2 linked regions of the Nothobranchius furzeri genome follow. The protein of the gene in region 1 purifies or fractionates together with the protein of each later gene. This does not show direct contact. Links are inferred from orthologs where the notes say so. Each region holds a gene or a part of one and is shown in the gene's direction. Other genes may lie near its edges.

What was found.
Region 2: the proteins of crnkl1 (region 1) and ccdc12 purify together in Homo sapiens (co-immunoprecipitation; 3 studies listed by BioGRID and IntAct, with this or other methods). This does not show direct contact. The link is inferred for Nothobranchius furzeri from reciprocal best matches to the Homo sapiens genes CRNKL1 and CCDC12.

Annotation. Positions count from the first base shown.
Region 1 is NC_091742.1:17,433,137-17,437,854, reverse strand, and holds the start of crnkl1 (crooked neck-like protein 1), read left to right. Parts: upstream 1-1,753; 5' UTR 1,754-1,891; coding exon 1,892-1,939; intron 1,940-2,443; coding exon 2,444-2,596; intron 2,597-2,683; coding exon 2,684-2,775; intron 2,776-2,857; coding exon 2,858-3,016; intron 3,017-3,089; coding exon 3,090-3,256; intron 3,257-3,541; coding exon 3,542-3,720; intron 3,721-3,793; coding exon 3,794-3,964; intron 3,965-4,072; coding exon 4,073-4,264; intron 4,265-4,333; coding exon 4,334-4,393; intron 4,394-4,465; coding exon 4,466-4,546; intron 4,547-4,718. UniProt on the Homo sapiens protein: Involved in pre-mRNA splicing process. As a component of the minor spliceosome, involved in the splicing of U12-type introns in pre-mRNAs.
Region 2 is NC_091745.1:33,090,387-33,095,265, forward strand, and holds the start of ccdc12 (coiled-coil domain-containing protein 12), read left to right. Parts: upstream 1-1,446; 5' UTR 1,447-1,675; coding exon 1,676-1,759; intron 1,760-1,765; exon of another isoform or gene 1,766-3,032; intron 3,033-4,879.

The DNA of each region.
Region 1 (4,718 bases):
AAAGATAAGAAGATGCTGCCCTCCTGTGGCTGTATGTTGTAACTGCATGTTGTTTTCATTTTAGCCATTAAGAATAGAATATTTTAGCCTCCTTGTCTTAATGAAGCTTTTAAAAACTCCTAATCTATTTGGTAAACATGTTAGGAACTATAATATCATGAAGGAGAAGGAGGAGAAGATTAAACTGGATTAATTAATTCTACACAGAGAAGTACTTCTCTGTGTAGAATGAAGTATTTTTCCAACTTGCAAAGATTTTGTACTAGAAATTTGAACGTTTAAGACATAGTTTGACAGATAGCGCCTTCGTAATTTTTTTCTGAAACCCTTTTTTATAAAATTAAGCATTATTGGCAGTGGGGGAAAACGTTATGGACGCAAATTTTTTATATAATTTTTAATGGGCTACATGCAAGCCTTTTGGCCAAAATAAACGTAACAATAGGCTATTTATTTGACCGTTTATGACTCCTCATCTAATAAACAGCAAACTCACGACGGCAATGTGGTAGCCCGGAGGTATTCTACAAACACAAGAACAGTGCTAATTCCTATATGTATTGTTTTCACATTGGTTATGACAGCCTCTAGGTGTAAATGTCATTTTTACTAATTGCTATTTATCTCTGTCTCACTAGTGAGAGGCAGCTGATGTCCTATGCCATGGAACTGCTCATATACTCGGAGAAAATCAGAAAAGCTCTGGACTCATCTGAATTTTTCAAGAGGTTGTAGCAATGTGTGGACATTTATTATTATTATTATTTTTTGGAAGGTATTTGTAAGGCCAATAAAAGCTGTTGCTGGTTGTTTCATTTGTCAGAACTTTTTTTTCTAAAGCCAAACTTTTCTGCTTTTGTGTTTACAGTATATTCTTTACAGATTAGTGTATGGTCAATATCAGTTTACTAGTCTTGTGAATTGTATACTTAATGCAAAATATTTTAGTAATTTCTAAATCAATACATTTTGTGTGAAAGGGCCAGCAATTATTCCTGTTAACAGAATATATGAAATGCATATATACACATGTAAATATGCCTAAAAATTACACAGCAGCAGCTTTTCACTGTAAAGAAGCAATAAAAAAATCACAGATAGTAACATAAATATTAACTACTCACTCGTATGAACTTAGACCTACTGTTAGTGCCTGTAATAACAAATGGTTGAAAGTTAAATGTTGCTGTAGGAGGCGTGCTCCCAAAAATGGGGGTCAGTGGGCTTAAGGGGTTAATTAAAACGATTACCACTAATTACTTTTTCTGATATTTTATTTTATTGCATTTAAAATAAACACTTGCACATACATTACTCACCTGCTAACGTCAGTAAGCATAGGTATGTTGTGCCTATTGTACGGCAACTGATTATTTGTTGGTGGTATCTGTGTTTTATAATCTCACTGGGGATGGCCATGAAGTGTGTATACAAGAAATAAAAATAATCTCACTGGGGATGGCCAAAAAAATCCATACATTCATATTTAAACCTGGAGTCCTGTCTGTTTAATTACATTATTACTATTTCTATATTTATTTTCTTTCAATTGTGTTGTTCGCTGGGAGGGCCGCCGTTATTGAGCTCGGGGGTATCTCAACAGGGGGGCGTGTTTTGTCGGGGTGGGTGGGGGGTGGGGGGTGTTTGGCCGGGGCTACGTCTGCAGCTAGGAGGGTTTCAGTCACGTGGTACAAAAAATTGAGTTTTTTACTCTCTCCCTTTGTGTAACTTCCGTTGCTATACCAACGTACCGGAAGTCGCAGAGCATTGTGGGTACTGTCATGGTGGCTGGAGCAGCAAACGGAACGTTTATGTGGCTTAAGCTTTGAAACAGTCGTTTCTTTGGGACCTTTTATTTTACAGAGAACGTCTGGTCCGACACACCGGCAGCATGGCCTCCACGGCGGCAGGGAAACAGCGGATACCGAAGGTGGCGAAGGTAAGCGGACCGGAGCGCGGAGCTAAGAGCGGCTAAGCTAATGCTAACGCATTACTGTTTAGCTGTAGTGACCCGTGAGTTCTGTTCTGATGGCCCGGGTCCAGAGACACGAGCTCCTGTCCTCCACCGGGAGCTCAGAGGCTGCTCCTGGATGTGTGGGAGCTTTGGTTCCCCCAGATGTTCCGGTCACCTGGGATCTCAGCATCACTGCTAAGGTCCAGTAGTTCTGCCATGCTGGACCTGAAGTGCCATTTATCAGCACAACCCTAGAATGTTTCAGCTCACTGGTTCTGGTCCGGCCCGGCTCATCGATCATAACCAGAAAAACAAAACAAAAAAAAAATTGTAAATTCAAAAACGATCAAATGTTCTGGTAAAACGCAGAAAGACTTTTTGGCCAATTCTGGTTTTAAAGAGTGTAAAATCGCACCGGACCCTGGTTCTGGTTCTAGGACAGGAGTGGTACCGAGGAGTGGTCCTGAAGCTTATTGTGTTGCTTTCCAGGTGAAGAACAAAGCTCCTGCTGAGGTCCAGATCACAGCTGAGCAGCTGCTGAGAGAGGCCAAGGAGAGGGAGCTGGAGCTTCTGCCTCCGCCACCCAAACAGAAGATCACCGATAAGGAGGAGCTGAACGACTACAAGCTGAGGAAGAGGAAGGTGATTTAGAGAGCGTAGCCTCCATGGGTGGGTTAGTCTAACAGGTAAACAACACGTCTGATGGGTACTGGTCTAACTGTGTTTCAGGCTTTTGAAGACAACATCAGGAAGAACCGGACCATCATCAGTAACTGGATTAAGTACGCTCAGTGGGAGGAAAGTCTGAAGGAGATCCAGAGGTATTTAGGTCATCACCACAGCTGGAACTAGAGGTTTAAGGTAACCTGGTTAGTTGTTTAAACACTGTTCATCTGGGTTCAGGGCCCGGTCCATTTATGAAAGAGCGCTGGACGTCGATCACCGCAATGTCACTTTGTGGCTGAAGTACGCCGAAATGGAGATGAAGAGCCGCCAGGTGAATCATGCTCGTAACATCTGGGACAGAGCTATCACCATCCTTCCACGGGTCAACCAGTTCTGGTAGGACTCTATAGCTTGGGGTTCTGTCAGAGCCTTCACGTGTGTGCTGGAACGTTTTTGATGTTCTGCTCAGGTACAAGTACACCTACATGGAGGAGATGCTGGGGAACGTGGCTGGCTGCAGGCAGGTGTTTGAACGCTGGATGGAGTGGGAACCCGAAGAACAGGCCTGGCACTCCTACATCAACTTTGAGCTGCGCTACAAGGAGGTGGACAAAGCCCGGACCATCTACGAGCACTATATCCTTTCTACTGGAGCCCAGTAGAACCTAGAATGGTGGGGTTAGAACACACGTTCCATAAAAACAACCGGAACAGGTCCAGTCAGACTCGAATTAAAACACCAAAGATCTGTGACCCGGTTCAGCTACAGATTCAGACCCATAATGCCTTAAACCTGATCCTACAGAGTACTGGAGAACATCTCTGTTCCTTCTGACCCGGTTTTTAACTAACCCTGGTTCTGGTGGTTGATGGGCTGCGCGTGGTTTTGAACAGACAGGAAGTTCTTTAACTCGTCTTCACTCGTCCTTGTTCACCCGGAGGTGAAGAACTGGATCAAATACGCTCGCTTCGAGGAGAAGCACGGATATGTGGCTCACAGCAGGAAGGTGTACGAGCGGGCTGTGGAGTTCTTCGGGGAGGAACACGTGGAGGAGAACCTGTTTGTGGCCTTTGCCAAGTTTGAGGAGACACAGAAGGAGGTGGGTGCTATCAGAACTTTGTTTATGGGTTTGTTTGGGTGGATTCTCTTACTTCTGTTCTTGTTCTGGACAGTTTGAGCGTGTTCGAGTCATCTACAAGTACGCACTGGACAGAATCCCCAAACATCAGGCCCAGGAGCTCTTCAAGAACTACACCATGTTTGAAAAGAAGTTTGGAGACCGGAGAGGAATCGAAGATGTGATCGTCAGCAAACGGAGGTTCCAGTACGAAGAGGAAGTGAAGGTACTTCACCTGTCTGGAGGTCAGAGATGAAGTCTGGTTCTGGGCTCAGGTGTGCAGAGGCAGGTGTTCTGCTGTGTGGCCCAAACTCAGCAACTTCTCGTCCTTCAGGCTAACCCACACAACTACGACGCCTGGTTTGATTACCTGCGGCTGGTGGAGAGCGATGCGGACGCCGACACGGTGAGAGAGGTTTACGAACGAGCCATTGCCAATGTGCCCCCCCTGCAGGAGAAGAGACACTGGAGGCGCTACATCTACCTGTGGATCAACTACGCTCTGTACGAGGAGCTGGAGACCAAGGTCAGTGGTCCTGCAGCGTTCCTGCAGAGGGCGCTGACGGACCGGTGTAACGGTGACATGTGTCGGCAGGACCCGGAGAGGACGAGGCAGGTTTACCAGGCTTGTCTGGAGCTGATCCCTCACAAGAAGGTCTTTAGAACTTCACCATGATGTAACCCCCCACCACCACCAGGCTGTGACGTGCTTTCTCTTCTCTTTCAGTTCACATTTGCTAAGATGTGGCTGCTTCATGCTCAGTTTGAAATCCGACAAAAGAATCTTCAGAACTCCAGAAAGATCATGGTGAGCTTTGGCGCTGCACTCTTGTAAAACCAAACCACACAACCTTAAGCCTGATTTATACTTCTGCGTTGCCCCAACCCTCTTACCTGGCCGACCTGCGTTTCTACACACCCACTCGTGCCCAACGTTCAGCTGAGCAGCTGCTGCTGATTGTTCCAAAGGTTCCCTATAA
Region 2 (4,879 bases), on another chromosome or scaffold:
GGCGTTTCCAGAACATGTTTGATTATGGCCCTCTATTATGTTGAATCCATTCCACAGTTTTCATTGGTACACTCAATCCATCCACTCAATCCAATTGTGTTTCACACATTTGTATTTTACCGGAATGTTTCATCTATCTTGTTATTTCCATTTTGTATTTTGTAATTTGTATTTTGTAATTTGAATTTCTTTTATTGTTGATTTATTCAGTATAATTACTTACAACTGTACCATGTTCAGCGCTTTGGGCTTCCTGACAGGGTTGCGGAAGGCGCTTTATAAATAAAGCTTTGATTGATTGATTGATTGATCTGCCTGTGATGACCAGAGCTACCATTTGCTGACTCTGAAGAACAACAGGGGTCTTGTGGTCCCATCTGAAGGTACTGTGAGGGTCATCAGAGAAGCAGAGTGGGCAATTCGCCAGGCATCGGTGAGCAGATGGTCACAGCCCATCAAACCACTGGAGGTCGTCTACATTGTGCGCAAGAGGATCGGGTCAGAGGATGTCTTTTTGCTTGGGGAGCACATCAGTGAGACACAGCACGGAACTGAGTCTCACTCCCATCCACTGTTGACATCTATTGTCTCCCTGTTCTTCAAGCTGAGGATGCAAGATTAGCAACTCTTAGCTTTCGGTGTGACAGAGTGAGACAGAAGCTCACAAAGCTGTCCTTTTCAAAGGTCAGTAGGAAATCACAATGTGCTTTAGCATCTGTCTTAGATCTGTTATTTTTATAATCAAAAACATGTATAATCTGTAATAAACATGTTTTTCATAACTGTCAGTCTGTCATTCATTTACTCTTTAATTTTTGATGTGTTTATTTAGCCCTTTACTTAATTAACTCACAATTATCCCAGTTTTCTCTTCTCAAACTTTCATTTTAAATGGGTTGCAGGCTGAAAGTGGAAATAAATATAAATTATTATAATAACTTGCCAAAGCAAGTATACATTAGGTTCATATTACCTGCAAATATTAAAGTCAAAGTAAATAAAATATATTCTGTATATCTTCAGTTGTCTTTTTATAAAATATTTTCTCAGTCATTGAGGTTCTAGAGTTGTTTTGTTTTTTGGACTAGGTGTTTAAATTTTGTTTCAAGCTTCTGTGTATTTTTATTTTTTTGTTTTACTATTTTCTGTAAATGAAATCAGGTATTTGAGTTTTTATTTATAAGTTGATTTGGTAAGTTCTAATGTATCTTAAAACTTATATTTATAAGTTGACCTTAGTTTACAAACTACAGCTAGTTCATCAGAAGCAGATCTTATTGACATTAAAACGGTAAGTCTATGGGAAATTGACAGGATAGGGGAAAATGGCTGGAAAGTGGAGTGAAATAAGGGGCGTTTCCTGCTAAAACTGATATATTTCATAGCCACGTCTCTAATGTTTCTAAAAAATCAAACCGTATGAAAATCGGTTGAAAATTGAGAAAGTTAACAGTTGTTTAAATAGTGCATGCACCACTAAACACCAGTTAGAGAAGGGCAGCTGTCAGAAGTAATATGGCCGCCGCGTACGGACGTCAGGGTCCATTGACGAACAGCGCGGGTGAAGGATCTAGCGACAAATGTGATCGATGAGCTCGACATGGGTTTAGACGTCCTCATTATTCAGCGTGGTTAATACATTTCAGAGAACATCGAACGGCATGTGGAAATAAACATGGAGCCACACGTCGGATCGCTGCAGGAGCAGGCTCTAAGGAGAAAGGAGAGGCTAAAAGAACTGAGAAATAAGAAAAGCCATGTAAGTTTCACTCCTGGTGTATAGTACTTTCAGGTAAATATAACACTGCTATTTCAAATCAAGTCGGTCTTTTGGCCACGTAACATTAGAAGACTTAGCGTATAGCTAACTTTAGCTAAATGTGAAGCAAATAAACGAAAACATTGCAAGTCTTGTAACGTTAACTACTCTTAAATATGCTTATATGTCGAAATTGCATTTACATTAGTCAAGTTAATTCTTGTTTTTTACTTGCAGCTAAACGTTAGGTGAATGGTAATTTGCGAAGCTGTCACTTCAGTAAAGTTGACCTTTCCAGCTCAAGAACATCAGATTAGAATGCTATTTCAAAACGTAAGTCACCTCTTTGGTATAAGGGAAAGGTAGGGTGTGTCCGAATCCAGGGGCAGGATGCTTGTGAGGACGGGTCCTTACCGGTTCAGCTAGGTCGGGTCCATGCTCGACCGCAAAAACCGTAAGTCAGCGGCTCTGAATTCGGACAGTCTAGCCTTCACCTCTACGGTGGCCCGTAGGTCCCGTCACAGCCGCGGCGGCAGCTAACACGCAAAGGAAAAATGCTAAAGCTAGCGAACATGGAGCAGGAGCATTAAGGAGCTACAGCAGCTTCACGTCCATCAGCAGCGTTTGTTCACAACCGTTTTCAGGTAAAGTAGTTTTGTTTATTCTAGAAGCTTTCAGGACTTACATGTTAACTTTAGATGGTTTCATGTATGTTTTAAGCTACAGAATGAACTTGTTAAACATACACAACACATTACTACAGAGTATTAACATGTAGGTAATTATTATAAACCAAATGCTTTATAAATGTTGAATGCAGTAGGATGTTTTCTAATGTAAATTGGAACTTAGCACTTCTTTTTTAGCATCAAGTGGGTGTAAACTTTTTAAAACAGGCTTTTGTAAATAAAGTAACAAAAAAGTGTTTTCAATGTGCATTTGTTTATTCAACTTAAGCCTAATAATGATTAGATCTGTCTTAAAAATGTAAATTCTCTGTAGTTTTTATTTAACTATTCCCTGCTGCTTTTCTTTAAACAGAACAGAACCAGTGTACTGCAGGTTATATGTTTGTTTTACATTTTTCAATAAAAAAAACTTTTCTTATCTATTACAGGTCAGCATGCACTGCACATCTGCCTCTGTGCTGGTGAAGATGTGGCCCTGGAGAATGAGACTGAGGAAGATGTTACAGACGATCAGAGGCTGGTATGGAGGTCAGTGGTGCTCTGTCCTGGAGGAGGTACCAGCAGACCACCACTGCTGTTAACAGGCAAGTCATTTATGCAGACCTGCCAAGTACGCAATTTGGCATCTAATTACGCTGGTACGACTCACCCCTCTACGCAAAAAGCTGCAGACACGTGAGTTCTGTAGCGATTATGCACGTCTGGTACTCATGTCTGACAACACGACTCAGCAGCGTGGTGAAGAAGTTTAAGCCAATCATCTTAGAAAAGCGGAAAAGAACAATTCTGCCTGACTTATAGGGTAACACCCCCGCCCCCTCCTCCCTGCTGTATCCTCCAGTTCCCACTTGCTGCTGTTCTGGCGTTTAAAAAAGTAAAGTGTGTGTATGTGTGTCAGATGACTGGACCGGCCTAGTGGTCGCACCCATGGGAGATGCTGATGATTTAACACCCACACATTTTCTAATGAGCAGGTTAAAACACCCATGCTTTACCGCAGTTTAGTTAAAAACCGTTACTATCAGTCCGCTCCCTCCATGTTTCTCGATGTGTTTGCCGTCTCTCTCTCCCTCTCCTGCTGCTAATCAAAGCCTGCACATTTTTGCAACGATGTTACGTCATATTCTGCTCGGTTTTGTTGTTGAAACCCATTTCTCCTACCGCTCCCCAGCGCGCAAGCGGCAAAAACGTGCGCCCTCACTACAAGCTCGCTGCTGCGGTGCGCTCTGCTCACACACAACAGAACTGCTGCCTCCGTGCATAAAAACATCCTTTTTGTGCAAATCAACTTTTGACACTGGAACTAATTCAGTTGTGAAGTTATGTGTACTAACCCTGCTTATGGATCATCTCAGAGATGGATTGTCGATGTGAATATTTATTTGTTTGTTTGTTTATTTATTTTTTAACAAGAACAAGACATACAATTATTACAAAAAGCAAAAAAGAACCATTAGAATTGGCTGGGCTCAAGATCTATGTCAGGTTTAAACCCCTAAGACATCATAAACAACACAAGGAAGGAGATGCAAAAGTCAGAATTCTGTTTTATACTCGAGGAGGATGGAATAAGGTCCGATTAGCCCAGTCTCCACTGGGCCAGCAGATCCTCAAAACCATCCCGCCTTTGAAATCCGAGCGTGTCCTTTTATTACAAGCTGGGCGGGTCCCTAGGTACATGCCTGAGAGCTTACACTGAAGGATGGGGGAATCACAGCTCTCAGTTTTTAGTAATTGTTACAAGTTTCACACAAAGAGCGTTCAGTTTTTCTAATCGGTGTCTATTCACACGATGTGCAACAGACAGTTGCACGATTCAGCAGTAGTCCAAGTCAGCAGATGTCCTTGGGCAACATCAAAATCATCAATATTAGAACCAATAAAAGGCTTGAACTACTTCAGTTATGTGAATGAATCTAATATATATGAAAGTCTAATGTTTATCAGTACATTACAGACAATAATGAACTTTACCACAATATGCTAATTTTTTTAGAAGGACCTGTAGTTTGTGATTTGTGAATCCTTTATTTGGTAAATGGTAAATGGCCTGTGTTTAATGTAACTCCTTCTAGAGTCCTGGAACCCCTCAAGGTGCTTTACAACACAATCAGTCATTCTCACACACATTCACATGCTGCTGGAGGTGAGCTACGATGTAGTAGAGGTGCTGAAAAAAATCAATTCAAGTCTGAATCGAGATTCTTACTTATAAAGGTTCAGAATCGCAGACGTTCCGCTGCTGTTTCTCACCAGGATCAGCTGATGGAGGGCTCTAGTTTCGTTGCGATGTTCGTGCCAGCGGACACGGTAGCGTCAGGGAGGGGGCCGGGGCATGACGCTTAGCCTGGCAGATGGCCAAGCAAAGCCTGGTGGCCCGCCAGGCTTATAAAGCGCTGGTGTAAACCCTGGTTTATTTTGGTCACCCATG